Oryzias latipes: one gene and its partners. The protein of the gene in region 2 purifies or fractionates together with the protein of the main gene of each other region. This does not show direct contact. Links are inferred from orthologs where the notes say so. Each region holds a gene or a part of one and is shown on either strand. Other genes may lie near its edges. The genes, in order: tada2a, zzz3, kat2a, yeats2 and kat14.

Evidence for each region.
Region 1: the proteins of zzz3 (region 2) and tada2a purify together in Homo sapiens (affinity purification with mass spectrometry; 4 studies listed by BioGRID and IntAct, with this or other methods). This does not show direct contact. The link is inferred for Oryzias latipes from reciprocal best matches to the Homo sapiens genes ZZZ3 and TADA2A.
Region 3: the proteins of zzz3 (region 2) and kat2a purify together in Homo sapiens (affinity purification with mass spectrometry; 5 studies listed by BioGRID and IntAct, with this or other methods). This does not show direct contact. The link is inferred for Oryzias latipes from reciprocal best matches to the Homo sapiens genes ZZZ3 and KAT2A.
Region 4: the proteins of zzz3 (region 2) and yeats2 purify together in Homo sapiens (affinity purification with mass spectrometry; 3 studies listed by BioGRID, with this or other methods). This does not show direct contact. The link is inferred for Oryzias latipes from reciprocal best matches to the Homo sapiens genes ZZZ3 and YEATS2.
Region 5: the proteins of zzz3 (region 2) and kat14 purify together in Homo sapiens (affinity purification with mass spectrometry; 4 studies listed by BioGRID and IntAct, with this or other methods). This does not show direct contact. The link is inferred for Oryzias latipes from reciprocal best matches to the Homo sapiens genes ZZZ3 and KAT14.

What each region holds. Positions count from the first base shown.
Region 1 is NC_019871.2:10,131,779-10,138,424, reverse strand, and holds the start of tada2a (transcriptional adapter 2-alpha), read right to left. Parts: upstream 3,969-6,646; 5' UTR 3,868-3,968; coding exon 3,843-3,867; intron 3,453-3,842; coding exon 3,346-3,452; intron 1,825-3,345; coding exon 1,765-1,824; intron 1,684-1,764; coding exon 1,592-1,683; intron 1-1,591. UniProt on the Homo sapiens protein: Component of the ATAC complex, a complex with histone acetyltransferase activity on histones H3 and H4. Required for the function of some acidic activation domains, which activate transcription from a distant site. Binds double-stranded DNA.
Region 2 is NC_019875.2:4,200,249-4,206,146, forward strand, and holds part of zzz3 (ZZ-type zinc finger-containing protein 3), read right to left. Parts: intron 2,381-5,898; coding exon 2,242-2,380; intron 2,071-2,241; coding exon 1,923-2,070; intron 1,823-1,922; coding exon 1,710-1,822; intron 1,090-1,709; coding exon 1,018-1,089; intron 1-1,017.
Region 3 is NC_019866.2:6,156,131-6,162,724, reverse strand, and holds the start of kat2a (histone acetyltransferase KAT2A), read left to right. Parts: upstream 1-2,647; 5' UTR 2,648-2,681; coding exon 2,682-2,951; intron 2,952-3,193; coding exon 3,194-3,317; intron 3,318-5,246; coding exon 5,247-5,392; intron 5,393-6,233; coding exon 6,234-6,323; intron 6,324-6,411; coding exon 6,412-6,593; intron 6,594-6,594. Other genes in the region: rab5c (ras-related protein Rab-5C), read left to right, coding at 196-317. UniProt on the Homo sapiens protein: Protein lysine acyltransferase that can act as a acetyltransferase, glutaryltransferase, succinyltransferase or malonyltransferase, depending on the context.
Region 4 is NC_019875.2:23,336,899-23,342,796, forward strand, and holds part of yeats2 (YEATS domain-containing protein 2), read right to left. Parts: coding exon 5,743-5,898; intron 5,088-5,742; coding exon 4,923-5,087; intron 4,202-4,922; coding exon 4,116-4,201; intron 3,668-4,115; coding exon 3,479-3,667; intron 3,180-3,478; coding exon 2,954-3,179; intron 2,733-2,953; coding exon 2,574-2,732; intron 2,304-2,573; coding exon 2,188-2,303; intron 184-2,187; coding exon 34-183; intron 1-33. UniProt on the Homo sapiens protein: Chromatin reader component of the ATAC complex, a complex with histone acetyltransferase activity on histones H3 and H4. YEATS2 specifically recognizes and binds histone H3 crotonylated at 'Lys-27' (H3K27cr).
Region 5 is NC_019859.2:452,606-459,048, forward strand, and holds the start of kat14 (cysteine-rich protein 2-binding protein), read right to left. Parts: upstream 4,463-6,443; 5' UTR 4,301-4,462; intron 2,697-4,300; 5' UTR 2,542-2,696; intron 2,474-2,541; 5' UTR 2,437-2,473; coding exon 2,184-2,436; intron 2,081-2,183; coding exon 1,959-2,080; intron 1,899-1,958; coding exon 1,777-1,898; intron 1,667-1,776; coding exon 993-1,666; intron 923-992; coding exon 369-922; intron 1-368. UniProt on the Homo sapiens protein: Component of the ATAC complex, a complex with histone acetyltransferase activity on histones H3 and H4. May function as a scaffold for the ATAC complex to promote ATAC complex stability. Has also weak histone acetyltransferase activity toward histone H4.

The DNA of each region.
Region 1 (6,646 bases), on a different chromosome or scaffold from region 2:
CACGATATGAAGAAAACTCGCGATATGCGATATTAGTAATTAATATTGCGATAACGATATAATTTGCAGTATATAAACAATTAGCAAAACAACCAAAAATATTATTCCCATTCCATTACAACAGCTTAAAAATTATACTACAAATGACCCTTGTTGACATAGGAGGCGAACATACAACATAATAGGGCGCCATCCGATTAGTTAACAACGTGAAGAGGTCCATCTCATTGGTCAAATGCAGAAAGGGATTCTTTCAATCCATTAAACACTTCAAGCTGCCATAAGATTGTTTGGCCACATCTAAGGTAACCATTTATTGCAAATTTGCTGTCTTTTGCGATATGCATATTGCACAGCTTGATATTGCGATAACGATAAATTTGCGGTATATTGTGCAGGCCTACGTACAAGTAATAATTACAACGCACTAATCTTTATTAACAAATAACCGTAACAACTAACTACTATCAATGAACTAACTATATTGGTGTTGTAGAATGAGTATGTGTGTGTCAGTGCACTGTGTGTGTAAGAGGAAGGAGCACTAGCAGTGCAAGAGTAAGTGACAGCCTCCCTCTAGCGCTGCACGCTCTCCCCTCTTTCTTACACACAGGGCTCGTGGTTTCAGCACATACACATCCTCATTCTACAACACATGTTTCAATGTGGGCACATGCAGCTTATGGACAGGTGCGGCTTATGTATGTACAAAATGTTTTATCCTTTAAAAATGGAATGGGTGCGGCTTATAATCAGGTGCGCTCTATATCCAGAAATGACGTTAATCTGTTCCTTTTAAAGAAGCACATTGCGACGTTAATAACAACACAAACAACAAAACTTTACATTTCTACATTTCTATCCCCTCCTTAACCCAGCTCGGTCTCAAGCTTACGTTTGTGGATGTCTTACTTCAGTTCTCTGCTTGTATTTTTTAAATATCCCATTTTTAAGCTTTTTTTTTCCAATCTATGCAACTATGCTTGTAGTTTCTTTCAATGTACTGTCCAGTGAGTTGCATAGATTGACTGCATATAGTGATATGTGTGTCTATTAGTTGTGCGTGCAAGTGGCAAATTATATTTCCTCCTGTCGCTATCGTCTTATGAAACAAAAGAAAAAACGGATTGAATGATGTTTGGGAGAATTTTCAATTTGGCTTTTAACATGAATAATAAAGTTTTTAAAAAATCAATTAAATTATTAGTGAATTCTCTGCTGCCTTTTTGTTGATTATACTAATTGCTTTTTTCTGTAAATGAAACAAAGGCTTTATATATATGGACAGAATATGCTTTTCCCCAAACTTCGAGGCAGTAACTAAATTACACTTAAATTAAAAAACAATATAACCACTGTTAAATAATATTTTCACCAATCTTCTTTTTTAAATAATTAATGTGAGATTTCCATTAAACAGCAGAAATGACTTGTAAAAATTGTCACATTTTGAAACCAAAAGACAATGAAACTAACATGACACCAATGATAAATAGCTAAATGATAAAACATTAAAAACTTGCTTTTTGAAGTTAGTAAAAATAAGTGTATTCAAAAAGAAAACACTGGTAAAATGTCTTCGACCTCTTACCAGTTCCCAAACCCGCAATCCATGACTGCCTCCAGCAGAGCCATCTCCTCCTGCGCCGTCCATCCAGGCTCCAGCACCGGGAAGTCTGAAGTCTGAGTCGAGGTAACACAAAAGATGCCCGCTAAACATGATGTTTAGCTACACCCGAGAAACTCAACTGCAGCTCCACTCACCATGATTTCATATCTGTGATCACTCTGATGCTTCTTGTATTCAAATCCTCTGGTAAAACACTGGAACGAAATAAGTTCAGGGTAAAGCTGGTCAGGTAAAAGACACGATTTGTTCATTAAATAAAAGTTCTTTGAATGCACTGAGGAGGTTTTCTTAACTGAGAAAAGTAAAACTTACATGCAAATTAAGTGAATTCATAAATTGTATCGATATGACGACCATGAAAGAAGCAGCAGTTATAATGTGGCTTATTTTTCAAATAAACCCAATCGTAAAGATCTGGTCATTTATTTCCCCATTAATTTAACAGTGAAGGAAATCATTTTGCAAAATAACAAAGTTCTAATCTAGAAAGAAAAAACAAGTGCATTTTTGGAAGTAACTAACAAAAGAATTTGTATTCAACACAGGTGTGTGAGAAAGCACAGTATTAAACCAGGTTAGACACAATTTGACTTCATCCTTTTAAATAATTTTAAAAGATTTCATAATATCAGTGTGCTATAAAACTATAATAAAGCGTCACTTTTTAAGAAACACATTTAGAAATGTGATCAACAACATTGTAATGTACTTTTAATACCCTTTTACTACAGAATGTAATACTATATTTAAAAACTGTACTTATTAATATATAGTTGATATATTTTATAGATACAAAATTAAATATGTCAATTATTTTAATTTTTAATAAAATTGTATCTATCATAGAATATTTGTAACAATAGAAAACCCTAGAAAATGTAACACTTAACACTCATAATAAAGAACATACATACAAAACATTATTTGGTTTAGCAATACGATCTAATGCTATTTGAACAAATTCAAAATTCAGAGTGCAAAAGTATTTTAATTTGTGCTACATGATTTTTTCTCAAATGTAATAATGTTTCTAAGGCAATAAATATATTATTTAATAATGGATGTAAGACTTACCGTATATCCTCCAATAATAGCCCTGACATTAATTGAAGACCAGCCACTATTGGAAGATATATGGTATTGGCAATGTAAAAAATAAATAAAACAATTGTTAAGAAACAGGATAATCAGTGGAACATGAAAGAACTGGACGGAACACCCTGACACCTCTTTATTATACACTGCCGTGGGATGGCATCATGTTCTTTCATTTGAATTTTTTTTCTCAAATCAGGTATAGTAGTTAGAAATCTGTGGAAGGCGATCAGTGCTGGGCGGGCACTGATGTGGAAACCTCCAGAAGTTCCAAAAATAAGGGTCAATCAATGGCTACAGAAATAAAAGCAGTTTGGCTATTTGGAAAACCTTGCATACCTTCTGCTGCTCATTGCACAAATGCGCGTTCCTCACAAATATGGACTCATTTAAAATATAAAGCAAACTAATTTTGCAGAAGTCTAACATTTATTGCCAAGAAGTTTTGCAACAACAACAAGGAAATACTGGGCTAAAAAAAAAAATCGTAAGGTTTTGTCCAAAGTGTTTAAACTGTGGTCTGTCTGCGTAAAGTTACAGCTGAGTTATTCGGTTTGTGTTCAAACACACATTCTAAAGAGCCAAAACAAACAAATTATAAGCATCCTCATCTGGCTTACCTGAAGACACAACAAAAAAGGTGAAGGTCCACATTCTGCGCACTTGATGTATGGTTCGGTTAGATGGGATGAGCAGCCTCTGCAAGGCGGTTTATCAAAGGGGTCATCTAAAATGAACAGAATAATTATATATATATTATCAGTAACAGTTTTAATAGTAACAACACGCAGTTAAAAAAGATACATATAGCCTAAAGTCGTGATTTTGGGGCAAACTTGAATGCACAAAACAGATGTTATCTTGGGCGAAGGACTAGCTTTACTAGTCGAGCTTGAAAATGATGATAATGTTGAATGTCTCAACAACAGGTCGAATATTTTCAACAAATCACTGCGGCAAACAAAAATAGCATTGTTTTTGACGGCGATGCTAATGCTAAAGATAGCTTAGCAGACCTTGCTTTATGGACAAAAACAGCTAACCTTCCAAAAAGTCGATGGATACTTGGTAAAACTGCAATAAATTCAACTGTGTGTATAATAATGCCAATACGTACCTGAAAAAGACGCTATTCGGTCCATTTAATTGCTATTTGCTTCTCAATAACAACACCAAAATTGAATTTGGGTCGATCTGTTTTTCAGAACTCGGCTATGTGCCTGATGACGTCATAACTAATCGAGCTCCGAATATCGATAGTTTTGGTCGTGTATCACCACACAAAATGATATATATACTATTATGTTTTAATAGTTGTGTGCCATGTCCTCATAGGTTCTTACAAAGGCAGAAGAAACTCAAAAATTTGAACAGAAAACAAATGTTGTTTAAAAAAATGTATGAAATATATAAAAAAGCCACATGGAATATTGCATTTTAATGCAAAATGATTTTTATAAAAAGGTATTTCATCTTTAACTTTCTTTTCCTTCTCTTAAGATTTTTGTTTTACATTTATTTTGCAATGGGGAGAGATTTTAACTTGTTTTTAGTTTCTCCATCTCATCACCATGACGACAGTACTTCCCTATATTGCCACAAGGTGCTGATCTTGCTCTATGTCTCTTAAGGCAACAATGAGCACCCTGAAAGCCTTTGTCTCCCTCCCAGCACAGATGATTACCTGAGGCTTGCATAAGCATCATGTGAGAAATAGAAATAAAGATGATGAATGTTCTGTGTCACAACACCCCCATGCTGCTTTTTGTCCTCCATAAACTTTTTGCAGAGGTGCTGCCTGGCCTGCAAAAGGCTTCAAGACATTTTCTTTAATATGAAAACCAGCAAATATTTATGAGTACCAATGTTTTCCAGTGCCTGTGTCCAGGTTTGGCACCCCCAATTCAAAAACAGCTCAAACACCCTCAAGAGCATGCCAGTGAGGGCCCATGAGGAGCCTTAGGAAAACAAATATCTGAAACCCTAATGCATAAAACTGCAAATCCACATGTGCCAAACTCACTTAAAGGTAGAAAAAATAAGTATTTGAGTGAAATGACTGATTTAGTACAGATGTGGCTGGAAAAAGGACTGTTTGATTTTCATGAAACCTCTTAACCTCTCTGCAGTTACTAATTATGACAGTTTTTATTCTAATATTTGCATTTCTGTCATTGATACCAGAAAATCTGATTCCTTCTTTCTTTGAGGTGATTCAGAGCAAATATATTTAGACTGCAAATCCCCACAGAGGATGAGGGCAGCTTCCTAAACCACATGATGGGTTAACTCTGAATGGGCTGCTCTGTTCCAGCTTGCTTGAGCCTTCTCTGTGAGTTCAATACATCCTGATTGGTCTGTTCGGTAGCATCCTAGCCTGCGACTCATCTCTGGAGCCTCTAGGGAGAGACACGGTTTTTAACGATAGTCTGTGTATGTTAAGGAGATGCACGCACACTCTTACTCTTTTGGAGGAATTTCCAGCTCACCGTCATACTAGCTTGTAATCATCCTTTGAGAGGGTCATGATTTATTCACCTATGAGGAGAGACTTCTCCTTTTTGTGTAACGGTTTGCTGTTGTGTGTTGAGCCAGAGTGAGCTTCCTTTTTTGTTCCTGGCTGCAGCATTCACACCACATGCCCACAAGTGTGTGATCAAACGTGGCTATAAAGGCCACAACTTTTCAGGACTATCTCAGCAGAAGAGCCCTTCTATCAACTGTTTGTTTCACTAAATTATTAAATTCGGAATAAATTGATCAGGAATTAGAAGATTTTTGGATGTCATTTATTATTGTTCAAGTGTTTTTTTTAAAACATTTCTCTATTCAAATTTAATTGATCCAACATGCACTCAGTATATTTGTTTGTTATTCTTAGAACTTTGTAAAGTTCATGCTTTTTTTGTTTTAAAGGTCTATTTAACAGCCTTAAAGATTCTAAGGAGGCCTAAAATCGGCTGAAATGGCATGAGACCAATCTGGGGACTTTTTGAGAGATTTTTACGGTGACCATAATAATTTATCTTTATAACCGTTTTATGTGTCAATTTTAATATCCATTGTTTTAGTAAAACCCCAGATTATTTTCTTTCCTTGATATTCCTCATCATATTGAACAGCAATTTCACCACAAACCTGAAACTGACCTGAGTGGTAAAGTTAGTCCTTTTTTACTGCAAAAAAAACATCAAAAAATGTAATCAAATTGTTTTTTTATGTCTCATGGCAAAGCTTGAACATATACAGACAAAATAAAAAAATTATTTTTCCAAAAACAAAGCAAAGATATGATCAAAACAAAGAGAAAAATGTCTAATAAAACCAGACAAAGCTCCACAAAGCTATATGTTTAAGGGATTTGTTTCAAGGGGTATCTTAATTATGTGTCATAACAGTTGTCATGATTGGTCTGAACCAAAAGTTTTAAAGCTAAAAACCTTTTGAAAACCTTCATTTTGGGTGAAGAATATGCTAATGAGGGATCATTGTCATTCCTATGTCATCGTAAACAGCAAATGTGATTGTCCTTCCTACTACTGATCGTTAAATTATTCTGTAATGAACTTACTGTACAAGGCATAAAATGTTCATTTTTTTCTGCTGGGATGCTGGCATTTCATAGATGTGTGTTGGCTAAAAGACACGTCTGTGCCCAGCAGTTGCATTTAATTAAGTACAATTGTATGTGTAAGGACCATTTGAAATGTCACGGTCAGGATTTGCATTAGCACACAGTAGGAATTCACATCTTGGCAGGAAATGCAGAATGAATGCATTTTCCATACGGACAGTAACAAAGAAAAGCGTGTCAGATTTGTAGAGAGACGTGTGTGCTCCCCTGCGATGGCCTCTGCTTCAGCATCACCGCCTTGGGGGGAGGCACAGGACCGTCTGACTCTTCATCCCTGTTCCACCTCC
Region 2 (5,898 bases):
CTTATTCGGCCCATAGCTGAACCCCATTGGTCCAAACTACCCAACGACAGGCTGAGCGACAGAACTGAGGGCCAATCAGATCTCTTGATGGGTTCAATGAACTCCGGAGCTTAGAACACGACCCACGGCCACCCAGTCCAACTCAGTCCTCTACAGTACAATGTTATTAAAAAGAATCTACAGACTAATTGTACTTTAAAAGTGTTGAAATTACATAAAATGTACACATTCACTTGTCTTTTTAGTTTTAAACATTGTATGGCTCTCACGAAATTACATTTAAAAATATGTGGTGTTCATGGCTCTCTCGGCCAAGAAGATTCCCCACTCCTGGGTTAAAGCTTAAAAAAAAGGGGAGGGGGGGTACGTCACTGTTACGGTCGCTATTTAAATGAGTCTTTTTCAACATTCAAAAGGTATTTGTTGACCAAAATCAGAGGGAGGTTCCCGTCGAGAACTGCCAGTTCCGGCTAAAGATGTCTGAGTGGATCTTGTTGTTGGCAGCCAGGTCCCCTCTGCACCACGACTGCATTGACATCAAGTCAGCAGTGAATGATGGAACATTTCCTTTTTTTTATTCCTTGTGAATAAACATAAACTTGTAGAAAACATCAAATAATCCGAAGTGTTTTGAGGGTTTTAAGGATTTTGTAATGGACCGCATTTTTTAACAAAAACTAATTTATTTTCTTCTTTCAACTTTTATGAAATGAAGAAGAGTGTTTACTGCAGGTCATTTGTATCCTCTGGAGTATTTACTGAACAGTTACATCTCAAACTGTCTCCATGTACATCTCTGCTGTGCTGCTCTGCACCACACAGACAGAGGAGGGACTTGATTGAATTTACCAAACAACTCAGAGCAAATACAGGCACTGCCACAGACAATGCAGCAAAAAGAGGTTGTTCTTTATGGCCAGTACGCAGCAGACGTTAACAAGCTGCAGCACCCAAAGAATAACTGCATGAGCGAGTAAATACAACCATTAGGAAGGAAGTAATCCTCTTGCCACCAACCTGTTCCTCCACGGTCCACAGCTGGTTAAAAGTGTCAGGTTTATTCGGGTGACAAATCCTCCCCCTGATCATCTGTCAGGAACACAGAGAAAGGCTCGTCAAAGGACTAACAACACAAAGATAATGGGCGTGTCAACATTTGTAAGGATCTTTGCACATGAGCTGCCTGGCACTTCCACATTCATCACTTTGACAGAGAAAACCTGGCTGTCAGATGTGACTCCAGACGGAAGCACAACAAGTCTTCTGACTGTCAGGAATCCTGTCGGAGTTCAGAGAGTTGTCACCCTGAATGCAAATGTGCTTTTGTAGCACAAACAGCAGAAGCAACAGAAATGAGCAGACTGGTTTGCTCAAAGTGAAGACACCTTTGTGGAACAGCAGCAAAAGTGATGCATAATCACAAAGACAGGAGAGGAGTGAACATCGTGTCTCCATGGAAACCATCTTTGATGACAACGTTTTTCAAAATGCCTGGCATTAGGAATACAACTGAGTTTTTTGGGAGGGGGTGTCAGACAGCAGTAACCTGATGATTGGTGAGATGACTTGCAGGAGATTGGTGACTCACCATCTGCAGTTAGAAAGTGCTGCCACTGCATCTGAACTAATAATAATCTGAGACACAGAGGTGGTGACAGGACAGACTGATAACGACGTGCAGAGCACAGGGGTGAGATGCAAACGCATACCTGCGTCTGCAGGCCGTTCTCCGGGGCATCACTGGTGGGCAGAGAGGAGTACGCCGTGGAGCATTCGCCTTCCTTCTTGGGCTCAATGGGGCTTTTTGGTCGAAGTGGCAAACCTGTCAAAGGAGTAGAAAATAAATGGTACCACATGCTTTTGAAGAATAACAAAGCCCTTACAAAAAAGAAGCCTATGAGGAATTTCATGATCATACATGCCTTTGTCAAAGATCAACTTAAGCTGCCTCGTTTTACGCTTCTTGTCGCAGAATTCCCTCTCAAAATCACCAAGGCCAGACGTGTGCTGCTCCCACGCGATTTCAGGGAGCTGAACGACGCGCTGAGGACACGGCAGATCCAGATTCACCTGTGGGGGGGGGGGGGGTCAAAGTGTAAAAACAGACACATGAGCCACCCTGCAGAGCTGAGATGACTTTGCAGTTCTGGACCCAAATTGTTTGCCAAGTGCACATCAACCTTATGTTTTTAAAAACTTTCTATTCTTTTCTGTTGCATATTTTTTCTGCCCCTCTATTACCTGTTTCTGCAGCTTCTCCACAAAGCTAATAGGGTCGACGAGAGCCTCACTCTGCTGATGTGCCAGTGTCTCCAGGTCACGGATGGCCTGCGTGCGCTGGGCCTCAAGAACGCCAATGGTCTGCAGCAGTCTTTGATAACTGGCATAAACAAAGCAGGGTTAGGCTGTGAAGAATGACAGAGCAGCCTACATTATTAAATATGGCACCGGGCTGCAGTGCATGAAACTTTTATATCACTGCCCATGCATAATTCAACAGTTGTGCTAGGAAGCGTAAACAGTACCTCAAAACAAAACCCACTTTCACACCTATTTTGCAATCAAAACATTTACAGAAGGTTCAATGCAATTATCCCGACAGCAGCTGGCAGCTCTGGATCCAAATAGACCTGCAAAACATGTCAAAGACCTGCTTCTTTACAGCCACTTTTCTGAGAAAACCCATCCAGGTCTGCAGCTTTACAACACAAAAACACAACAGCACCGGCCAGATCCATAAACATTTCAGATTTAAAAAGTACATTTCAAAACATTTCCATGACAAATGCAGTGTTCGTAGAAAGTTCAGTGCTTCAAGTTGGCATTTTACGCCCGCAGTTGCCTGGAGCAGTAAAAGAAAATCTAAATGATCCGCCGGGGATGACAGAAGATACTGACTCAGCGGAGAAACAAACAAACAGCCATACAGACGCTTGGTATGTGGTTATAATCCAGAGGATGCTTGGAGAAAACATGACTGAAAATCGAGCATGGACAGAATTGATCCCACAGCTAACCATAAGACACGACACACTAAATGTTGTAATGAGGTTTAAAATCGGGTTTACTCAACCAGCAGTCTGTGACTATGCTGCACAGAATACTATCAGGCATCTTTACCTAAATGTACTTTGAGGCATAGATGAAAGCAAACTCATGTTTCTAGGTGAAAGTCTGGTACTCCATTGCCACCTACTGGACGCCCAATGTAAAGCCCCATGAACAGCTGATCTCTGAGCTCATACTTGATCTTTCTGAGTGGAGATCCAGTGTGGCATCAAAGAGCCAGTACAAAATAAATGGTCAAAGTACAGTGATGCACAAACAAACTGTTTTACAACTAAATCAATTAAGTATATCAGTCCTGTAAATTAAATAATGCGACATCATCCCCCCCCCCACTGACTTGTCTGCATTGATCAGAGGCCTGAAATTCCCCTCACTCAGCACAACCAAACTTGGCATGCGGCTGAACTCTGATCAAATTACCGGCAAATACAGGAGCAGTGCAATCCTGCTCTGAAGGCAGCACCCACATTTAAACATTTCCAATGAGAGGCTGAGACACAGAGCTAAACTGATGGGTCCTTGAAGACCCCCAAAAATGCTCACATTGGAATAAAACGAGGAACCTTTTGGTGTTTTTTGGTGTGTGTGTGTCCCACTCACAACAGAGAGGAATTTCTGATCAACCCCACTACAGTGCTCAGCATAAATGAGTACACACCACTACCTTTAGTGTCCTTTCAGAATCTACATTTTCTCTGAAATACTATAATACAAAATACACCTATAAAGGTGTGGCATTGATTGAAAACAAGATTTGTTATTTGCACACACAAAAAGTGATTTTCCTAACAAATGAATCAAGCCCATGTTGCTAAATGAGTACACCCCAGTCAGAGTCTTGGGAGAAAAGCCAAACTTTAGACTTCAAAATTCTAATGAACAGGCTTTCAACCACAGGTGAGTCTAATCAATTGTCTACCAACAGCTCACTGATTTTCTCTTATTAAACAATTCATTTGATGTTTTCCAGTCAGGTTTTAGACCCCATCATAGCACAGAAACTGCTCTTATCAAGGTAACCAACGACATCCGCCTGAACACTGATGATGGCAAAGTCTCTGTCTTAATCCTGCTAGACCTGAGTGCTGCCTTTGATACTGTTGATCATGGGATCCTTTTGCACAGACTCCAAGACTGGGTTGGCATCTCTGGATCTGCCCTAAGTTGGCTCAAGTCTTAACTAGAAGACAGGAAGTATTTTGTTGAAATTGGGAGTTGTGTCTCAGACTACATGGCCTTGACTTGTGGTGTGCCCCAGGGATCGATCCTGGGACCCCTTCTGTTCAACCTCTACATGCTGCCACTAGGGCAGTTAATACGCAGTAATAACATATCTTATCACAACTATGCAGATGATACTCAGATCTATGTGTCACTGACAACAGGTGAATATGGGCCGGTGGATTCACTCAACCACTGCCTCCAACAGATCAGTGCGTGGATGCAGAACAACTTTCTCCAGCTAAACTCAAACAAGACCGAAGTTATTATTTTTGGCCCACAGAAACAAAGAGAAAGTCTCAGCAGCTACCTTCATTCTCTGTCTCTTAAACCCTCAAATCAAGTCAGAAATCTAGGGGTAATCATGGACTCTGACCTGAACTTTAACAGCCATATCAAGTCAGTAACATCAGCTGCATTTTACCACCTGAAAAACATTGCCAAAATCAAAAACATAGTGTCAAAGCCAGACCTGGAGATACTTATTCATGCATTTGTCTCCAGTAGGTTAGACTACTGTCACCTGCTCACCGGCCTCTCCAAACGAGCTGTAAAACAGCTTCAGTACATCCAGAATGCTGCTGCTCGAGTCCTGACCAGAACCAGGAAGTATGATCACATTAGTCCTGTGCTCAGGTCTCTGCACTGGCTCCCTGTACCTCAAAGAATAGACTTCAAAGCAGCTCTGCTTGTGTACAAGTCTCTCCATGGCCGAGCACCAAAGTACATCTCTGACATGTTAGTGCCATATGAACCATCTCGTACTCTGAGGACCTCAGGGGCCGGCCTCCTGTTGATTCCCAGAGTCAGAACTAAACAAGGGGAATCAGCGTTTCAATATTCTGCAGCTAAAATCTGGAACAGCCTCCCTGAAGGCGTAAGACAGGCCTCTTCTGTGTTCATGTTCAAATCTAGACTTAAAACATTTCTGTTTAGCCGTGTATATGACTGAAAGGTCCTATCTGCACTTTTCTTTCCTTTCCTTCCTTTATTTTTAAATCAGTTTTCAAATTTTTTTTTTCTTTTCTTTTAAAGTAAATTTTATGTTGATTATTTCTATGATGTTTTGTGATTTTAATGCATTTTTCTGTTTTGTGAAGCACCTTGAATTACTTTGTGTATGAATTGTGCTATACAAATAAACTTGCCTTGCCTTGCCTTGCCTAATGATTCATTTCAGGTGTCCAGCACACAGGTGACTAGAAAAGGGCATTTCTTAACAAAGAACAGCCCTTCCCATTTCATGCTGTCAGCACTGGCTCCCCATGGAAAAGAAATGTCACAAAACTCAGAAAGAAACTCATTTCTTTGCACAAAAAGGTGAGGGCTACAAGATCAGCAAAGCTTTACATATCAGTCAAAATACTGTAGCAACAGTGATGCAAAAATTTAAGAGAGATGGAAGTGCAACCATCTCACAGAGACGTCCAGGCCGTCCACAGAAGCTAACATCTGGACAGGAGCGTCTCCTGATGAAAAGGGTTGAAGAAATTTGCTGTGCAAGTTCACTACAGCTAGCTGAAGCAGCAGAACGCCAAACTGGACGAACGGTTTCCTGTGACGTGTTATGGTCACACTGCAGAGGAACGGCATTCATAGTTACCATCC
Region 3 (6,594 bases), on a different chromosome or scaffold from region 2:
TGTCCTTCATCGTCAGAAAAATGCAACAAAACATGTTAGAAACACCAAAAAACACAACTTTCACCAGTAAATTTTTATGTCTTTTGTCAAATTCAGTAAAGTTCAATGTAAATTTCCCTAACGAACCTGAAATTTTTAGTTCATCTACTTCAATGTCAATTAATTATGTTCTCTTCTTAAAAAAAAAAAAAACAGCCAAGAAGCTTCCGAAGAACGAGCCCCAAGGCGGTGCAGCCGCAGGTGGACGAGCCAGAGGTGGCGTTGACCTTCAAGAAGCTGCACCCCAGGGTAGAAGCAGCCAGTGCTGTGGGAACTAACTTGCAATGAATCGACTCCTCCATCCAATCTACAGCTTCGATCAACCAGACCCGAAATTAGCCAGCTGTCCGGCAATACCTCAGAGGTCAAACCAAAGCAGGGTCAGGCCAACAACCCCATCAGCACCAAGTTATTGTTTGGAAAATGAGTGGACTGGCCAGTACACTGCAGGACCTCATGGATGGCTCAAACCAACAGACCAACAAATCCATTTCTTTTGCTTTCTGAATTCGACCTGTGACCTCTGGACTCGCCCAATGATCTCGCCTCCAGTTGATGGACTCTTCATGTCTTCTTTGAGAGAAGAACAACGATCTCGTTCATGACTAATGGCACTTAATTGCGCCTTCTTTGTTCACTTTTCTGTTTGTATAGAGAGAAAAAAGGATACAACAAAAAAAGAATAAAACCAGGCTTGTAGGGCCCCTCTTATTTTATTGGTTTTCACTTTCCACATGCATCTGAAATGGTTCCATCCAGTCATTGGGTACAAATCAAGGTGCATGTTCTGTCCTGCTCCTGATTGGCTTCCCAAAAAAAGGATGAGGCTTTTACCAGAACTAAAGGGCTGGACAGATGATTTTCTTGATGGATCTCTGTAGATTGATTGATTCTTCTTCCACCAGTTCTATACTATTTGACACGGATGGATCTGTTTGATTTTAAAACCTTGACTTCAGAGGTTTTTCAATCACCTGGTTTCAAACCATATGGAGTACAAAGTACTTTAACATTTTCACCTGTTTGTAATTTTAGCATTAATGTTTTTTGAATCATCGGTGTAAAAATAAGAATTGTCCTCTTGACCAAAATCCCTATTGTATTGACACCATTGCTTTATTTGTAACAGATTCTTCAGGTTTATAATCAATATGTAGATCTTGACAAAACACCGTCCCAATCTGTACATGTTATGTCAGACAATTTGTGATTTTTTTCTTTTTTTTCCTTTTTTCTTTTTCTTTCTGGAGATCTCTGGTATTAAATGCACTGGTTTTGTCTCATCATCTTTATGAATTGAGATGTTCTCCAGCGTTCACCACATTTTTTTTGTTCTTAATTTTCACATCAGTGAGGCATCAGCTTTTAAACTTTTTTTGAGGGTGGTGGTGGAGGGGGGTCATCCATCCTAATATGGCATCAACCATGGAAAATAGCAGCCGTTGCATCTTGAAAGGGAGGGATTGTGGGAAAAACGATTCTACTTTCATGAATAAATGAGGGTAGACATCTTTTCATGTATGATTTTGTTGAAAATAGCTTAAAAATCTTTGAATTTAAAATGAAATTCAGAGGCTTGGAAATGTTTCTACTCATTTTTTCCACCCTAAAACCCTAAAACAATTTCACACATCTTTACAGGTTACCTGATAACCTGTCGGTTATTGCTTTGACATGAGGTATAGTACTTCCAGTGTCAAACATTTCATAATAGACTGGTTTCTTATACAATTTTGATAATCTTTACATGCATAAATCCACATTTTAAAACATTTTTTGTTTATAACTGTCTCACTTTACAGTTGTTGCTGTTAAAATATGTATTTTGTCTTAAAGTTGCACATTTAATGAGAGAAAAGCTGTTTCTTTGAGACATAAAGAAACAATATAGTTCCATAAATAATTGTGTTTAATTTTGAAAGTCTTCATTGAGGTATGCATAGTTGCAATACCTAAAACGGTCACTAGGTGGACCATAGCAGAGGTACTCCAGAAAAACAGCTTCTGCATTACAGTTAACTGGGTCTGTCCTTTTGTGTGTGTGTGCATATATATATATAATGTGGAATGGAAAAATTGATCAGAGTTTGGGAGTAAACATTTTGGTCACACTAGTTAACTAGTGAGCTTTACAAGAGCCTTACTAGTGGAGCTGTAGAAAATGTGTATGCAGCTAGTTAACCAGTTGACTTTTTAGATTGTCACTAACCAACCAGTAAGCACAAGTATTGCCCACTAGTAAACTAGTACATATTTCTAAACATTACTAGTTAACTAGTTCACATTTATGGCATTTCGTTTTAAATAATTGTACTTTTGGCATTACTAGTTGGGCTTAAAACAAGGATGCCGATTTCATTCTAGAACAGCTTGACATAGAGCCTAACATTTGTTACGTGTTGCTTTCATGTTTTTCCACTAGAGGACACTACACCGCTTTACTACAGTACTGGGAACCTGTACATTTAAAATTTCCAGAAATAGCCAAATGATCCTTTCAAATAGTAAATATTTTATTTTAGGTTTTTATTCACTCACGATTAAAACAATATGCTTTTAATGCTGTGTACATTTTTTATTTGAATTTTTAGCTTTTGGTGTTTGTAAAATCCAGCTTTCTGCCCGGAACCTGAAGGCACCAGATGAGATCAACGGCAACAGAGGAAGTCTCCAGCAGCAGCGTGGATATGTCGGACCCGGCAGCGCAGGCCTCACAACCCCGGCTTCCACAGACCCAGTCCGCTGGGTCAGCTGGGTCCGGTAATGCTGCAACAGGCTCCGGGTCGGGCAATAGCGACCCGGCTAGGCCAGGACTCAGCCAGCAACAGCGCGCTAGCCAGAAGAAAGCCCAAGTTCGAGCTTTCCCACGGGCGAAAAAGCTGGAGAAACTTGGCGTGTTCTCCGCATGCAAGGTAGCTAATGTAGCTAGCCAAAGTTCACAACAGAGCCGTCTTGAGATTTATTAGCGTTTATAAATATATGTTTAGAGCACAAAGTAGAAGTGGAGCAACGTCAACTAATTCCCCTCCATCGACTGTTGTAAAAATAATTTATATTCACAAATCTGTAGCCAAACCCATCAGCTAGCGTAATTGATCCGTTAGTCATTGCGGCCGCTGAATAGCCGTTCACTGTTTGTGCTTCGCGTCCTCAGGCCAATGACACATGCAAATGCAACGGATGGAAGAACCCAAACCCACCGTCAGCCACCCGTCTGGATCTGCAGCAGCAAGCAGCCAGCCTGAGCGAGCCCTGCCGCAGCTGTGGACATGCTCTGGGTACCAACTATTCAGCCTCCATTTAAACCACTGACTAAGAACAGGAGATCAGTACCGCTGAAGGGCTCATCACACTGTTTAATGCGTCTGAGGGACGACACTACAGATTCTGCACAAGATACACGGTTTGCCCTTTGCAAACATGCCCATCATTACTGTGATAGTCAGAAAATAAACTAGTTGTTCCTCCTCTGGCTTTGGGATTAATGGCAAAATTTGTGCAGAAACTGCGACTTTAAAGTCTCATTCCAATTATCTTTTGATGTAATTATGATAAGGCAGATTTTGCCTAAATCAAAAAACGTTTGGGTTTCTAGGACATCGTTTCTGAAGAGCCGTGTTCGTGCATTAGAAACCCACCTGAGTTTTGGGTGGAACTGTTGGCACGGACTGAGCCTGCTCGCATTTCCCATCATCCCTTTGTGTCCGCGCTCTCCTTACAGCAGCAATTACAAGCTTTCTCCAACGGCATGTTTTCGTCTGCTCCTGATTTACCACAATTTGAATGAAGAAATACTCAGAAACTCAGTTTAAATCTTAATTTCCTTTATCTATGTCCTCCATTACGAGAAAAAACGCTACAAGAAGATGTTAAAAACACCAAAAACAAGATTTTTACTGGAATTGGTTTTTAAGAATGAACATTGCGGTTAATATTGTGCGTCATGTTTACAGTCAGTATTATTCTGGTGCAATATTCATGCATGTATAGTTGTTTTTCCAAGTTTGAAGATAAAACGTATATATATATAGTGTAGTCTAGAGGTCTGCAACCTTTTAACACTTTTGGTGGATTTCTAACCAACAACAACCCAGTAGGAGCTACAAAGTCTTACTTTAGCCTTTTAAAAAATAAGACATTAGTTGGTATTTTTGTTATTGTTGCTGTTGTTCACTTTTCAACATAGCCCTTCAGGCGTCGCCACATTGAATCAACTTTCACGTTTTTACACCTGATGCCCGTCCTGACACAACCCTGTATTTTTATCTGGGCTGGGGACCGGCACAGGGGGACCCAAACTTGGGCCCCCTTGTTGGCTACATACTTAGACAGCAGCATATATATAATGTTGTTTTTATGCATAAACAAAGAGAAAATATCTGGGTTTGTTTTTAAGAAAAATGAGAAATGGTGTATAACTTTTGGCCGAGATTCATATGACTTCCTTTCAATAAAGGACACCTTAGACAAAGGATCCTCTCAAAGCAGCTAATGTTTTTATTGGTAGTGTAATGTCACACACTTTGTTTTACCATTGGGGGTCCATCTCAGCCAGAAAAGAGTAAATCGAACAAACTAAATTTAAATAAGAGCTAAATAAGTAACCCTTATTGTATATTTCAAACCACAAGGTACCGTACACTTAAAATCAATAAGAATTGTTTTAAAAGAATTAAAAAATCTGCTTTATAATCCAGTGCTTCTAAATTCTGGTTGTGCTTGGTGACCTCCGATTGATTTTCTGTGGTTATCGGCGCTCAACGTGTTTCAGTTTTTAGTTAATGTTTTAGTTTGACTTGTGTTACGTACTGTCTTTGGCCTGTTTGAAAAGAGTTTGAGGTTGTCTATTTTACTTTTCTTTAAGTTACTACTTAATTATTATTTTTTTACTATAAAGTTACTTTTTCAAATGAATTTTTTTTTACTTTAGCCAAAGAGCCACAATGAAGGGGAATAAGAGCCACATGTGGTGATGAGAATGTATTAGCTGCACACATCTTTTTAAAATACTTTTACAATGTTGCTCTAAGTTGAACTGTTTTTGAAAGAGAAGAATCTCTTTAAAAACTAGTACGTCAATTGTTCTGATAGCTCTTTTTTGCAGTATTTACAGATTTCTACGTTTCCCCAAACTTCAGTACAATTTTGAAAATATAAAGAGATCCCAGTAGAACATATGCATTGACTGTACGGTAATTGTTTTGCAGCGGAGCACGTGTCTCATCTGGAGAATGTGTCTGAGGAGGAGATCAACAGGCTGCTGGGCATGGTGGTTGACGTGGAGAACCTGTTCATGTCTGTGCACAAAGAGGAGGACACTGATACCAAACAAGTGTACTTTTACCTCTTCAAGGTAGCGTTATGGTTCTATGGGTTTTGGGGTGTTTTTTTTGAGCGTTTGGGTGGAAGTGGTGAGGGGCAAATTGATGTTTTATTCTCTAATCCAAGGGGGCCAAATATGGCCCAGCAAAGGTCGTCTTTTGGCCCACCAAGCCTGTAGAGGCCACGGAGTGTTCAGTTAAAACCCCTTAACCTCTTCTATTCATTCATGGAGCGACAACGGAAGTAGCAAACGGACAAGAGGCATTTTAAACAAATATGGGAGGAGGATTATTTTTCTCCAGAAATCTCTTCTCAGGCTGTTAGTCTTCTTTGTCAGCAGTCCGTGGCTGTACTTAAAGAGTACAATATACGCCGACCCTACGAGACTAAACACGCAGTTTTATCCAAACACAAAGGTGAGGCGCAAAAGACAAATTCTAGAGAGTTCCAATCTAAACTTTTGTCACAGCAAGCCACCCTCAAGATGCCCTCGGCAGCAGGGGACAGCGCCACGTTGGCTAGCTACGAAGGTTCGGCGTTAAATGCCGAGAGTGGGAGATCGAGAGAGATTCAAAGAAAAATGTTACTAACTTTTAAGTCTCACTAATGTGTGTTGCCTTGAAAAATACTAAATACAAATAAATAACCTAAACTATATTCTTTATTCTCTTCTTTTATTTCATGACTTGCAAAAAAGTCTTGAATTTGGCCCACGGACCGGGATCACATTTAGATTTACGCCCTTTTGGCCTTTGAGCAAAAAAGTTTGGTCTCCCCTGCTCTAATCCCTGCGCACTGCTTTGTCTTGTCTTGCCTTAAAACAAAAAACGTATTGTTCACATTCTTTTCTGATTACTGTCTTTCTGGTTTAGCTGCTGAGGAAATGCATCCTTCAGATGAGCCAGCCTGTTGTGGAGGGATCTCTGGGAACCCCTCCTTTTGAAAGGCCCAACATTGAGCAGGTAAACGGTGAAACTCCTCACCAAGATCCTCTAGCTGCTAGCAAAACCTGAGCATTCTTACCTGATTTGTGTTGTTTTGTTTTCACAGGGAGTTCTGAATTTTGTTCAGTACAAGTTTAGCCACCTAGCCCCAAAGGAAAGGCAGACCATGTTTGAGCTGTCGAAGATGTTCCTTTTGTGTCTGAACTACTGGAAGCTCGAGACGCCGACGCAATACCGCCAGCGCACCCAAAAGGAAGACGGGGCGCCATATAAAGTGGACTACACCAGG
Region 4 (5,898 bases), about 19 Mb from region 2:
AGTAAAGGCCTGATATCAGGGATGTTCACTCACCTGAGCCAAGATGGCTGCTTTCTGTCCAGCTGTGACCCGAATGGCCTGCTGGGTAGCAGCTGCAGCTGGAGAAGCTGCTGAATGAGCTGCTGAGCTGGCACCCCCCTGTTTCGCAGCCCCCTGCGCTGGCTGCCCAACCAGAAATGTGCCCTTCGAAGCACAAAGTTAGGTTTGGACGTGGGCGTGGGAAGGACAGTAACAGCAGAAGTTACAAAAGGGAAAAATAAACAAGTGCTCTCTCTGAAGGCATATGGATGTTAAAAAAGAACCTCAATGCTTTCCACTGTCCAAACAAGCTGATCTAGAAGTGAACATTAAGCTGAAAATCTGCTGTCGCACTAGAATTTGATCTTAAGCAACTCTGTAAACAGCTAACAAAGCCATACTCAAGAAAAATGAGATTTCAAAGGACATTTTTATTTTCCTATTCTTCCATCTTTTGTGTTGTTGAAAGTGGAGCCCATAGAAGAATTTTTAGAACAAGCAGCAGATAAAAAGCCGGGACAGGGAGCCATTTCTTTACAGAGAAGAACAGGCAGTATTATGAAGAGGGTTCATGAGAATGCATGCAGAAACACACGACTGACAGTCAATAAAGAAACCTTGCTGCTGTGAATTCCAAACAATCTCCAACAGAAATGTAGAACAATGACAATGCTATGTAATTCCAACTACCGTAAATTCCGGACTACAAAGCGCACCCGATTACAAGCCGCACCCACCCACTTTCACGTGTTTAATTAGTTTTACACATACACAAGCCGCGTCAGAGTACAAGCCGAGCATGTGTTAGGCGATATTGTCATCCTGACAGATCACGGCCAGCATCCCAGAGTGAGTGCAATTCATTAGCACATTGTGGGTGGTGCCAGCTTTGCCTCAGGCTCATGTATTTGAGTATCGACATCTGTCAAACAGCATGGACCTCTATTCTGTTCACAAGTTCCTCAGTTATGGTGTTTTTATTTCATTTTTTTTTTTACTTATTGACAATCTAGGTATCATACATAAAATTACAAACAGTAACCATATAATCAACATTACATCCCTCAGTTATGATGAGGAAATTTACATCTGCGATTCCACATTTCCCATGAGTCTTAGGGGCTAAAGGCGGGGCCAATGCCCGGCTCGCCATTCTGTTGTACGTGTTTAAGAATGAGCAAGTATCAGCAGTGCATGGAGGGGTGAACGGGAAAAGCTCTCCTTCCGCTTGTGTCGCGGCAGCGTTATGGGAGTAACAGGGCTGGTTAAAAAACACACCGGTAAAATACAGCAGCGGCGACTGACTGAAAAGCGCGCGCCTCAGCGTGATACGCGCGCCTCAGTGCGGCGCGTGCGTCAGAATTCAGAAGCCTCTGCGCTCCGCTCCCGCCCCGCGCGCTCCTTGTCTCCCCTTCCTATCTACTCTGACACCTCTGGCCAGGGCGGCTTCAAGGAGGAGCACTTCGTCCCCGTTGCGCCGGTGGATGGAGCAAATCGTTTCAGTGCAAAGCAATCGGACTTAATACTGTACGTTTTGTGTATGAGGGGCGGGTGCGTTGTTACGTGGGACTGCCATCGGCCCCGCAGCTCAATCAGCAGGAGATGTCTCCAGCTCACACGGAGGCTGTGAATTTTTCAAAGCAAAATTCCGCTTTTACGGTTTCCTTAGAAACCGTAAATGGAGTGTAAATTCACTCCATGCGCTGTTCTCTCCGTCACGCAGGAAACCGGCTTTTCCAAACCCGTTGGTGACGGTGGACTTTTTTATGCTGCTTTTAACGATTGCTTTTAACTTGAAAGCTTCATCATATTGTAGCGGCGATCACGTGCACGTTGGGTCTAATGGCACCAAAGGGTTCTGGGATGCGGCCGGGCATGCGTGTTTCGTTTTGTTGAACCATGACTGAAGTGTCTAAGACCTGAAGTCAAGTCCATGCTGTTTGGCTGCTTAAAGGTGTGTTGAATATAAATGCCTTGTGCTTGGTGTTAGATAAAGAATTCAAACTATTCACTGAGTTCGAAAGTACGTACATGGCGGCCGCTAATTAAATCCATAAATTAGCCGCGTCACTGAATAAGCCGCAGGGCTGTAAGCGCAGGAAAAAAGTAGCGGCTTGTAGTCCGGAAATTACGGTAGTTATTTATATAAAAAAACAAGAGTGTAACTACCTGTGGGGTCTGTTTAAGGATGTAGGATGTGTAGGACAGGTTTGAAGTAAGATTGCTGGAAGAGGAGCTCTGGGAACCTCCTGCGCCTCCAGAGGAGCTGCTCTGGGACTGCTGACCTTAATTCCACGCAGACGACAGGACATTTTTAAATCAGGTAAACAATCCTATTACACTTTAATATTTAGTAATCAATCAGCTTTGTGGTTCTCAATTCATAAAAGCATAAAACTAAGATTGATAAAGTGAATTGTTGGACAAAAGTACAAACAAAGCAGCTATTTAAAACTAATAGGATAATAAGTGTGTAGTATAACTGAAACAGATCTAAATAATGTGGAGGTTTCTTTGTACTTAAAGGCATAAACATAAGTTTGAGGATGTCTTACTTGCACTAGATGCTCGGAGAATGGCTCCCTGTGGTATCAGCAGCAGCTTTCCTTTCCCTGATGGGTTCTTACTGTTGGTCGTCAGATAAAGTTTGGTGCCAGGAGGCAAATTGGCCAAATTCGCCAAGTTGTTGGCTGGAAGCTGCAGAGTAGCCATTACTGTAAAAAATACAAAAGACGGTGTACAGATCAAGGTAAAAGGAAGAAGGGTGTAAAACCAAAAGTGTCTGATTTTTCAGAAAGGTGTTTATTTACAATTCAAGGTTTACAATATTACAGAATCTAAATGTTTGAGATAAAAAGAGCTAATTTCCTATAAGCTAAGATGTAAAGGTTTATCATAGTGAATCTAAATGTCAGTCATGTCTGTGAGTTCAAACCTCCACTTTTGCCCCCTGAACCACCAGCTGTCTTGGCGCCGCCCTGCTGGCCTGACAAGGCGCTGCCTCCACTGACGATGGCTTTAGCAACTCCCTGAGCCAAAACCTGCTTGCCTCCCATCACTTTGGAACCGGGGTTGCCCTTGGCAACCAGAATTTGCCCACTGCTGATGGCAACTTGCTTAACCGAAGATTGAAGTGTGGAGCCAACAGGAATCCCCAACATCTACAAAGAGAAGAAGGGGAGAGAGAAACAAATGAAAAGAAATGTTTAGGAGTTACTGTGTTTGGGAATGAAAAATAATGATGAGTGAGAGCAAGAAAAAAAAGACTGCAGTACTTGATCTTTCAAAAGTTTAAAGCCTGAAACAAGTTTTTAAAACATTATAGATCTTATTTTTCCTTGTTCCGTCAAATCTCATCAGACTGTTTTCTTTTGGGATCTGGAAGCTAAACTTGGCTTTTTGGACGCAATTCAGGTAGATCCTCCTGGTTACTGTCTGGATCTATGCAGGAATGTCTGACCTTGCTTGTTGTGGACCCTGTGGCTCCTCCGGCCTGTTTCTGAGCCGTCATGGAGATCATGTGACCTCCTTTCATTGCAACCAACTGGTGAGCTGCTGCAGCAGAAGGTTGCTGCTGGCTGGTTACCGTGGAAACCATCTGCTGCTGCTGCGCTGTTGAAACTTCCCCTGGCTCCTGTTTGATAATAACCTGAACAAGAAACACAAGAAATGTTTTAAAAGATGACTGTTCTTGCAAAAAATAACAGTCGCTTTTGTGAACATGTCGAAGAATGTTGGACTAAACGGTGACAGGACTAAAACTGTATTAGAAGAGAATTTCAAAGTAAAATCACAGAATAATCAAAAGGATGGCAACAAGTGGCAGCGCAATCACTTTACTGCAGGCTGTCAAGACATTTGGTGTGAAGCTGAACCGAGTAATTCTCTCTACAGAGCTTCCCACACCCCCACCCCCATCTTCACAAAGATGCCCTATTTAAATAGCTGCTGAAGGGCTCACATCTGCAGAAGGCAGTTCCCCAGCCTACTATTAATACACACTGCTTTGCTGGAGAGGCAAATGCTACAGGGACAGGCTGGAGGATGGATAAATCCCTCAAAAAAATGTGCTTTCGTCTAAAACGTGGCTAACTCACCTTCACTCCTGAGGACAGCAAGGTGCCGGTGTGAACTTTAGGTGCTGGGGAGCGTGTGCCTTGACCCTGTTTGCTTGTAGGGCTTCCTATGTAACAGAATATGGACAAAAATGAGCAATAACTTTATTGATAATGCTAAAGCGGACATTTAACTGCACTCCATGTAGAAGTAGAGCTGCAGGTTCGGAGAATCGACCCCACCCCCCCATGACACTCATATCAACATAATCCTGAGGGAAATCATTACTACCGCTCCAATCCCAAAACTAGATCTGACTGATGTTTGAACTCGTGGAGGAAGCGTAGGAGTGTCTAAGTGGATATAATAGCACAACATAAGAGAAAGAGCTCCAATGGTGCAATGGTTACCCAAGTTTCTGATGTGTAAAATAGATCTGTGATCATGAAGCAGCCTGCACTCCATGGAGCAAAAAAGTACTTCTAATTCATCTTTTCTCAAAAGAGCAAAAGGATTTTTAAGATGTTCTCCTGCCCTGATCATGAACTACCACAGCGCTGTTGCCATGGTAATCTCAGAGCCAGCAGCTATTCTGCTGTTTCACCTCACGTCACTCATTAGAAAACGAAACCCACAGACAAAAATACTATCAAATATTTTTTAAAATATTAAAGAGAAGAACAGACAAGAGGCTTTGGGTGCAGAGATGTGCAGAAAAAAAATCTTCCAGATTTGATCATTTGCTGTACTTTCCATTCTCTGTAGCCATTAAACGTTTTCAAGGGCATCTTAGAGGTTTGCTTTTAAACTCTGTGGAGCATCGGCAGCACTGACAAAAAGATTTGTACCTGTGGGCCCAGCAGACGAGGAAGTCATGCCGATCATTTGGCCAGGTTTGTCTACTATGATATAAGGGTTGTTGAGCACAGAGGAGCCATCCTTGGTGTGAGCGGGGGTGGAGGCGATGGGTGTGCGAGGCAGGGGAGAGTGGCTTGGGGTGGAGATGGGGGAGCCTATAGATGAGAAGATGTACCAGTAAACAGATACAGAGTAAATCTTTTGGTGTTTTATATGTCAAAGATATTGGAGGAATTGAAATGGAAGAGAACTTGAGGGCTAAGATAGTCTAAAGAACATCAACTGTTAATCACACCAATTTCATGAAATATTTTAAGCTTTTAACACCTCTAAATTTGACTGTTCTTTTTCATGGGGTGCTTTTTTTTGGCAGCTCATCTAGGACTTCATTACTGGACCTCCTCATCAGATGTCTCCTTTAGCTCTTAAGGGGGTAGGCTTTCCCAAGAGAACACTCCTAACCATAATCAGTCCATTCTGGAGCCCTACGTGTCTAAACTGCATCATGACCCGATACCAGACAGTTGGTATTTTGGGTACCCAACATTTATGATCTCAGATGAGGGTTAGAACATAAAAGACAAAAAAAGGTTATATATTCAATTTATTAATGACAAAAAAAATCACTTTTCTTAAGAAAAGTGTCTTTTCACTTAATTGTTGTTTGTAATTTGGTGGTAAATTTATCAAATAAATGCTTTATTACATGTGAAACACTGACATAATGAAATATTTTATTTTAGTGACTAAGCTCAACTTCTGAATAGGGCAGATATAGCTGCTATAAAAAAAACTGATGGAGACACTTGCCTGAAACTATTTTACAGCTCATGGTGATGGGTTGGAACAGTTTCCCAGGAGATTCAGCGGGACTGGGTGGCTGTCCTTGAGGGACTATCTTACAGCTGGCTGTGATTGGTTGGAAGGCAGAGTTGCCATGGGAACCCAAAGTAACCCTGTCACCAG
Region 5 (6,443 bases), on a different chromosome or scaffold from region 2:
CATGAAAACTTCTGAACTAGTGTTTCCTACTACACTGCAGTGCTCTCTTCAAAACATCTGAAACAGACTAGAGCAGATTTAAGTTTGATATGGTCTATTTTCAGTCATTGAAAAGTGTAGAAATAAGTGATGTCACCAGAATGCACCAAATTGTACCATATTAAAAGTTTCCGGGGGGGCATGCCCCCGGACCCCCCTAAAGTTGCAAGCACCTGCGGAGCGGCGGGTCCCGCTATGCGCGGTGTCGGGCCAGTAACTTTCAGGCAGGGCCAGTAAGTTTCAAAAACTACTGGCCCTGTGGGCCAGTGCAAATTTCTGGGCTATGTCAACCCCTGCCCCCCTCCCCCCCAGAGAAGGAACGCTGGTACCTGGAAACGATCCAGGATCTGCAGCTCCCGACTGCTGGTGCGGTACTTCTCCTCGGCTCCGCCCCCCGCGTTGGGGCCCCCTTCAGAGCCGCCGTAGATCCCTCCCACCAGGCTGAGGGTGGCACTGATGGCCCGGTCCACGTCCAGCAGGGGGAGCCCTCTCTGCCTCTTGGCCTGGCGGACCAGCAGCTTCCGGCGAAGACGGCGGGCCTGCGGCGTGACGGCCAGCGCCAGCGGGCAGGCGTCCAGGCGCCGTAGCAGCAGCCGCTCCTCGTACAGGCTGACGGCGACGCAGCGAGGACTAGCCACGATGTCGGCGGCCGCCGGCGCCCTCCTCCGCTCGGCCCCCCCAGACGGAGAGGGAGGAGCTTCCTTCCTTCCTCCCGACTCCTCAAAGTCTTCGTGGCGCTCAGGACAATCGTCTTCCTCGCTGTCAGCTTCTCTTTTGATGTGAGGGGGGGCGGAGCAGACCTTCTTGCGGCCTATGAGGGTGGCGCTGGGTGGGGGGGCGTACTCCATTCCTGGATCAATCATGCCGTCCACCTCCTCGTCATCTGCAGGAGGGGGAGGTAGGTCATGACATCATCATCCATGCAGCAGCGCCTAGGGGGGGCGTCCTCTTACCGTGGAACAACGCCTGGGGGGGCATGACGTCAGGAATGAGGTCCGCCTCCGACAGCAGACTGGGCGTGGCCGACTGGGAGGCCGGCGTCCCTGGGGCGGAGAAGTCGGGGGAGGGTGACGGAGACCGGCTGGTGAGAGGAGTCCGGTCCGAGGAGCTCAGCGAGGAGAAGTCGATGACCTCCCCCTTCTCTAGGACCAGATCGGGCCGCCGCCCGGCCCCCCCGCCACGGCCCCCGCCCAGTTTGACGGGCGTGGAGGAGGCACTACGGTCGGGGTATCCTCCCACCGCCTCCTTCTGTGCTCGACGGATGTCTTTGGCCTCCTGGGTGCGAGAACGCTTCTCCTTCAGCTGCATGGCGTTCTCCACGGCGTTCCGGGCCCCCCGCTTCCTCAAGCCCTCCACCGTGATGATGGGGTCCAGGACGGGTTTGGACGCTGCGGACCACAAGCAGCTGAGCAGAGACGTGGAACCCCGCCCTCTGCGGACTGGCTGCGCCTTACCTTTGGTCTTGGCGGCGGACTTGTCCACATCGGGCCTCAGGGTGGGGGGTCGGTTCTGGACCAGCTTCCACCAGCCGGGTTCTCCAAACTCCTGCGCCCCCGAGCGGAAGAAGGTGGGGCTGCCGACAGACAGGCAGCCGGCCACCGTGCTCCACCAGGTGGAGGTCTTCTTCCTGCAGAGAGACCGGGTCAGCGCCGGCGGGGGCCCACCTGTGCGGAGCCGCACAGGTGGGCCCGGCCGGCGGGGGCTCACCTGTGCGGCGCCCGGCCGGCGGGGGCTCACCTGGTTCCCAGCAGGAAGTTCCAGTGCCGGCCGATGAAGGCGCAGATGTCCTCCTTCCAGCGGAAGTAGCCCTGCCGGCCCGTCCCCTCCAGGGACAGGTTGTACATGGCCAACATCACCACCTGTCAAACACACACCTGTTCAGCCCCGCCCCCTCCCTCAGCGGGGTTTCGGGGGTGTACCTGCTGCCAGGTGAGCCGCATCCTCTCAAAGCTCTCCTTGCCGTCCTCGGAGCAGCTGCAGCAGGTGAACTTGAAGAAGTTGTCTCCTTTCAGGTAGCTGGGCTGTTCTCCTCGGAGCTGAGCTGCAACAGACACCCGTTAGAGCCCCCATCGCCATGGCAACGCTGCATGCAGCTAGGCTTAGGGAGCAGGATTTGGCCACGCCCCCTGTGGTGATGGGCTCACCTGCAGGGGTCCACTTGTGACAGCGCTCGCAGTAGAAGGACATGTCCTCGCAGGCCCAGCCGCCCTCCCCCTCCTCCCCCAGGTCGCTGGTCAGCGAGTCCCCGCTCTGGTCGTGGGACAGGTCCACCGAACCCTGATCCTCCGACTCCACGATCAGCAGAGTCTCCCCCTCCACCTCCCCCTCCTCCAGCCCCTCTGACGCCGACGTGCACGTCACCTCGTCCGCCGCCAGGGGCTCGCCGCTGCTGTCCATGTCCGCCCTCAGCCGCAGCGCCACCTGTGGGCCGGTCCTGTCGGTGCAGCGGCGTGAGCTCACGTCCCCTCACAGCCTCCACTCTCTCCGTTTCACAAAACATACCTGCCTCACGTGTCCTGTGGGCGGAGCCTGGCCTCAGCACGCCGCCGCTCCTCCTCCAGGTGTCGGGTCAGGACCTTCTGCTGCTCCAGCAACCGCAGGTTCTCCTTCTTCCTCTCCAGCCGCTCCAGATCCCGAACGACACCCTGGTGGAGGCGCTGCAGACGCCGGAGCAGAGGGGAGGAGTCAGTGAAAACGACACCTATTGGCCGCTGGCTGCTCGCGGCACGAGACGCCGGCATTAACAGGAGAGCAGTGATCCCTGGACCCCTCATGTTCTAGTGTAGAACCGGGTCCAGTCCCGGTTCAAATTCCTCCACTGCAGCGGCTGCAAGTCTGCATCCAGAACGCATCCTGTCATAGCCAGAACTGGGTCCAGAACAAGAAGGTTCTGTGTTCTAACGTTCCTCCTGCAGATCAGGAGCTGCATGCGGTTTGAGTTCTAGAGTTCTGTCTGCAGATTAGAGTCCAGAATCAGTCCAGCGGCTGTTCTGATCCCAACCAGACGTTTGATCCTCTTTCTAAAAACGTCACTAAGGATGATTTACAACAAAGTCCCAGGAGTGAAACTGATGGAAGCCCCCATGAAAGTTCTGATAGATGGGGGGGGCATGTAGGCGGGTCTGTGGTGTTCAGAGCCGGTCCCCCCCAGTTCTTCTTTGGACAAACAGGTGGAGTGGACGGCCCCACGAACCGCCCAGCATTTTAGAAAACAGAGTTTGTGTCGTAAAATGCCGTACTTGAACTGTTTGTGTTTGGTGCTTTGGTTGGTCTGGGACCGGTTCTAACATGTGACAGAACCATGTTAGCAACAAATGAGCCCAAATAAAATTAAAGTTAGTCAAAGGAAATGTGACACGGTTACAATGATTTAAGGTTAAAATGTCTAATAAATCCCAAGATAATCCAAATGTTGTGATCAGCATCCGTCTGAATGAAAAGAACAGGAAACTGTCATTTATGGAACAACAGACAGGGCCCTAGCATGGACCCCTGTGGACCCCCGTGGACAGACAATGGGCATTCTATTTGACCTGAATTCTATCACTTTTATTGAATTACCGGAAAGCCTGAATTTAATATTTGAATCTTTTTTTTCTACGATTTATGGTGTCGAACGCTCCAACCAGCCCTCCACGATTCCAGACGACCGTCAGTCCAGGAAGAGGGTCAGCCGGCCCTCTCCTGGTGGGCTACCTGGATCAGGTGTGTTCTGCCAATCAGAAACAGGCCTGATTCTAACCAGCATCTACTGAAGCAGGGTTGGTGGTCCCGGTCCAGAACTTTAGGAGCTCGACGTCTCAAAAATAACTCACAAACGTGTGGGCATCCCTGGAGTAGGAGGTCGGTTCGAATCCCTCAGGTTCGTTTTTGGAAGGGATTCTACTAAAATCCTGAAACACTCTGATAATAACAGGAACTGACACAATAAAACGCGTTTAACTTCAAAACCAGAAAATCAGCACTGAAGTCCACTCAACCGGAAGTCCGGGGGGAGGTCCCGAGGTCAGTCAGCATATATTTACATTAATGTTTATCACAACCATAACAGTCCAAACATAAACAGAAAACTAAATTTAAGAGAACTCTGCTTCTGTTGAACTTTTATTTTTGAGAGTGTAAACCGGAAGCTCTGGATAACTTGACGGACAGACGTTTTGGCATCAGCGTCAGCAGCGTCCGCAGACGGCACGCTGATGCTTATGGCCTTAAACCGGGTAAGCCGTTAGCCTCAACGCTACCGGGTGTTGGACCGGCTCACCTCTCGGTCCCAGGCCTGTTTCAGGTGCACAGTCGCCACGGTGCTCAGAGTCAGAACCACAGAAACTCCCAGAACCACTTTGGAGGTCACAGACATCACGGAGGGTTCAACTCAGCGCGAGCCCGCTGCAGCTGCCGCGTCCCGCTCTTCCTCTGCGCGGCTGACCGCTGAGCTGCGACGCAGCGCCCCCAGCGGCCGGGAGCGCAGCGGCCAGACTTTTTTTAAAAACTTTATTGTACAAACACAATTTTACAAGATAAATTTTAAATGTGCCAGGAGAGCATGAATATTACATGCATTTTACATAAAAACATTCAAGTTTCTACAGCGTTCATACTGACATTCACTGGTTAAGACTTTAAGAGATGGAATTGAGAGACATTTTACTCTGATTAACACGGGGAAAAAATAGAAGTTGAAGAGAATTTACATTTATGAATATCAAATTTGCCAAATATAATATAATTATTAGTTTTTTAATTGAGTCTAGGTTTTTTTTATGATAGCCATAAATATTTGAAAATATTAAATGTGGAAGTATATTCCAAATTTGTTGTAGTTTTTTTTAGGTAAGATTTGATCCAGTTGATCCATGTGTTATTTAGTGTTTTAAATCCAGAAAGTTTAGTCCTCCATTGTCATATGAGTTCATTAAAACTGATTTTTTTAAATAATGTACACGTTTTTTCCAATTAAAGTTAAATAAAACTTGTAAACAGATTTTAGTGGTTGACCGTCGGCATACAGAGATAAAGCAGAGTAGGTGAGTGGAGGGATTCCCTCTGCCTCTGACAGCAGGACTCTGCCCTTTAGGCTCCCAGCGGCCAGACAACCGGACTGAGCGCGTGCGACGTGACGTCATCTGAGAAAATAATAATAATAATAATAATGGATTGGATTTATCTGCGCTTTTCAAGACACCCAAAGTTCTTACATTGTGTCCATTATTCATTCACTCCTCATTCATACTTGGTGATGGTAGCTACAGTTGTAGCCACAGCTGCCCTGGGGCAGACTGACAGAGGTGTGGCTTTCGCGCCTACGGCCCCTCTGACCATCACCGGGATCATACATGTGCATTCACACACCAGTGGAGCCACACTGGAGGCAAGGAGGGTGAAGTGTCTTGCCCAAGGACACAACGACATTTTGGCTGGTGGGAGCGGGGATCGAACCGCCAACCCTTCAATCATTGGACGACCCGCTCAACCACCTGAGCCACTGTCGCCCCTGCAAAATGACTTACTTCCAGTTTCAACCAAATAATGTTTCAGCTAAACGTCATTTCTGTTCCTCTGCTGTCTTCTATTGGAGGAAACGTCTTCCTGACTCGCTCTGGAAAACTGTTTGGACCCTGCATCAGAAATGATGAATCAATATCATGAGAGACGTCTACTACAGACTCCTACATAGAATCCATCCCATAATCAATACATGATCAGATAGAAGAAGACTATTGACCCCAACTGTCTTCTCTGTAAACAACAGAAATGCAATATTACTAAAACATTTAGGAAAGAATGTTCACGTTTTATAAATCATAAATATGACTCACAATGTCGGATGAAGTTTGAGTTTATCATATTTGGTCTACATGAAAATAAAATAAGATCAAACGTATAATTGGCAATAATCTAATTATAATATTTAGTAGGTTTAATATTCACAAATCAACATTTTCTTCATCACAAATATTTTCCCTGTAATAATTAGAGAATTAGAATCTTATTTCTAATGGCTTAAACAAAAACGGTATTTATGAAAACTGTCTTTGAACATTTTCAATGCATAGTAATCTGTTTCTGCAATATTTCTTTGTAATACATGTACCTGGCATTCTCATTGTTATGACTATTGTTCTCGTCATGCATTTTGGTTTTATTTGTTTTGAATAATACAGTGAAGAAAAAAAAGTTTCAACCAAATGAAGTCAATTCAGGCGCCATTTTTCCAACACCACGTTGGAACCAGACGTCCTCAGTACGCCGGCTCTGGTCTTAGTCTACGTTTCCATGGAGACCTCTCTCTCCTATCAGTAGTGAGCATGTTAGGAGGCCACACCCCTTCCACTGAAAGCAGGCTCAGAAGAATCTGTCAATCAAATGCTTTGAATGTTCGACATGAGGCCGCCTACTTTTATTCA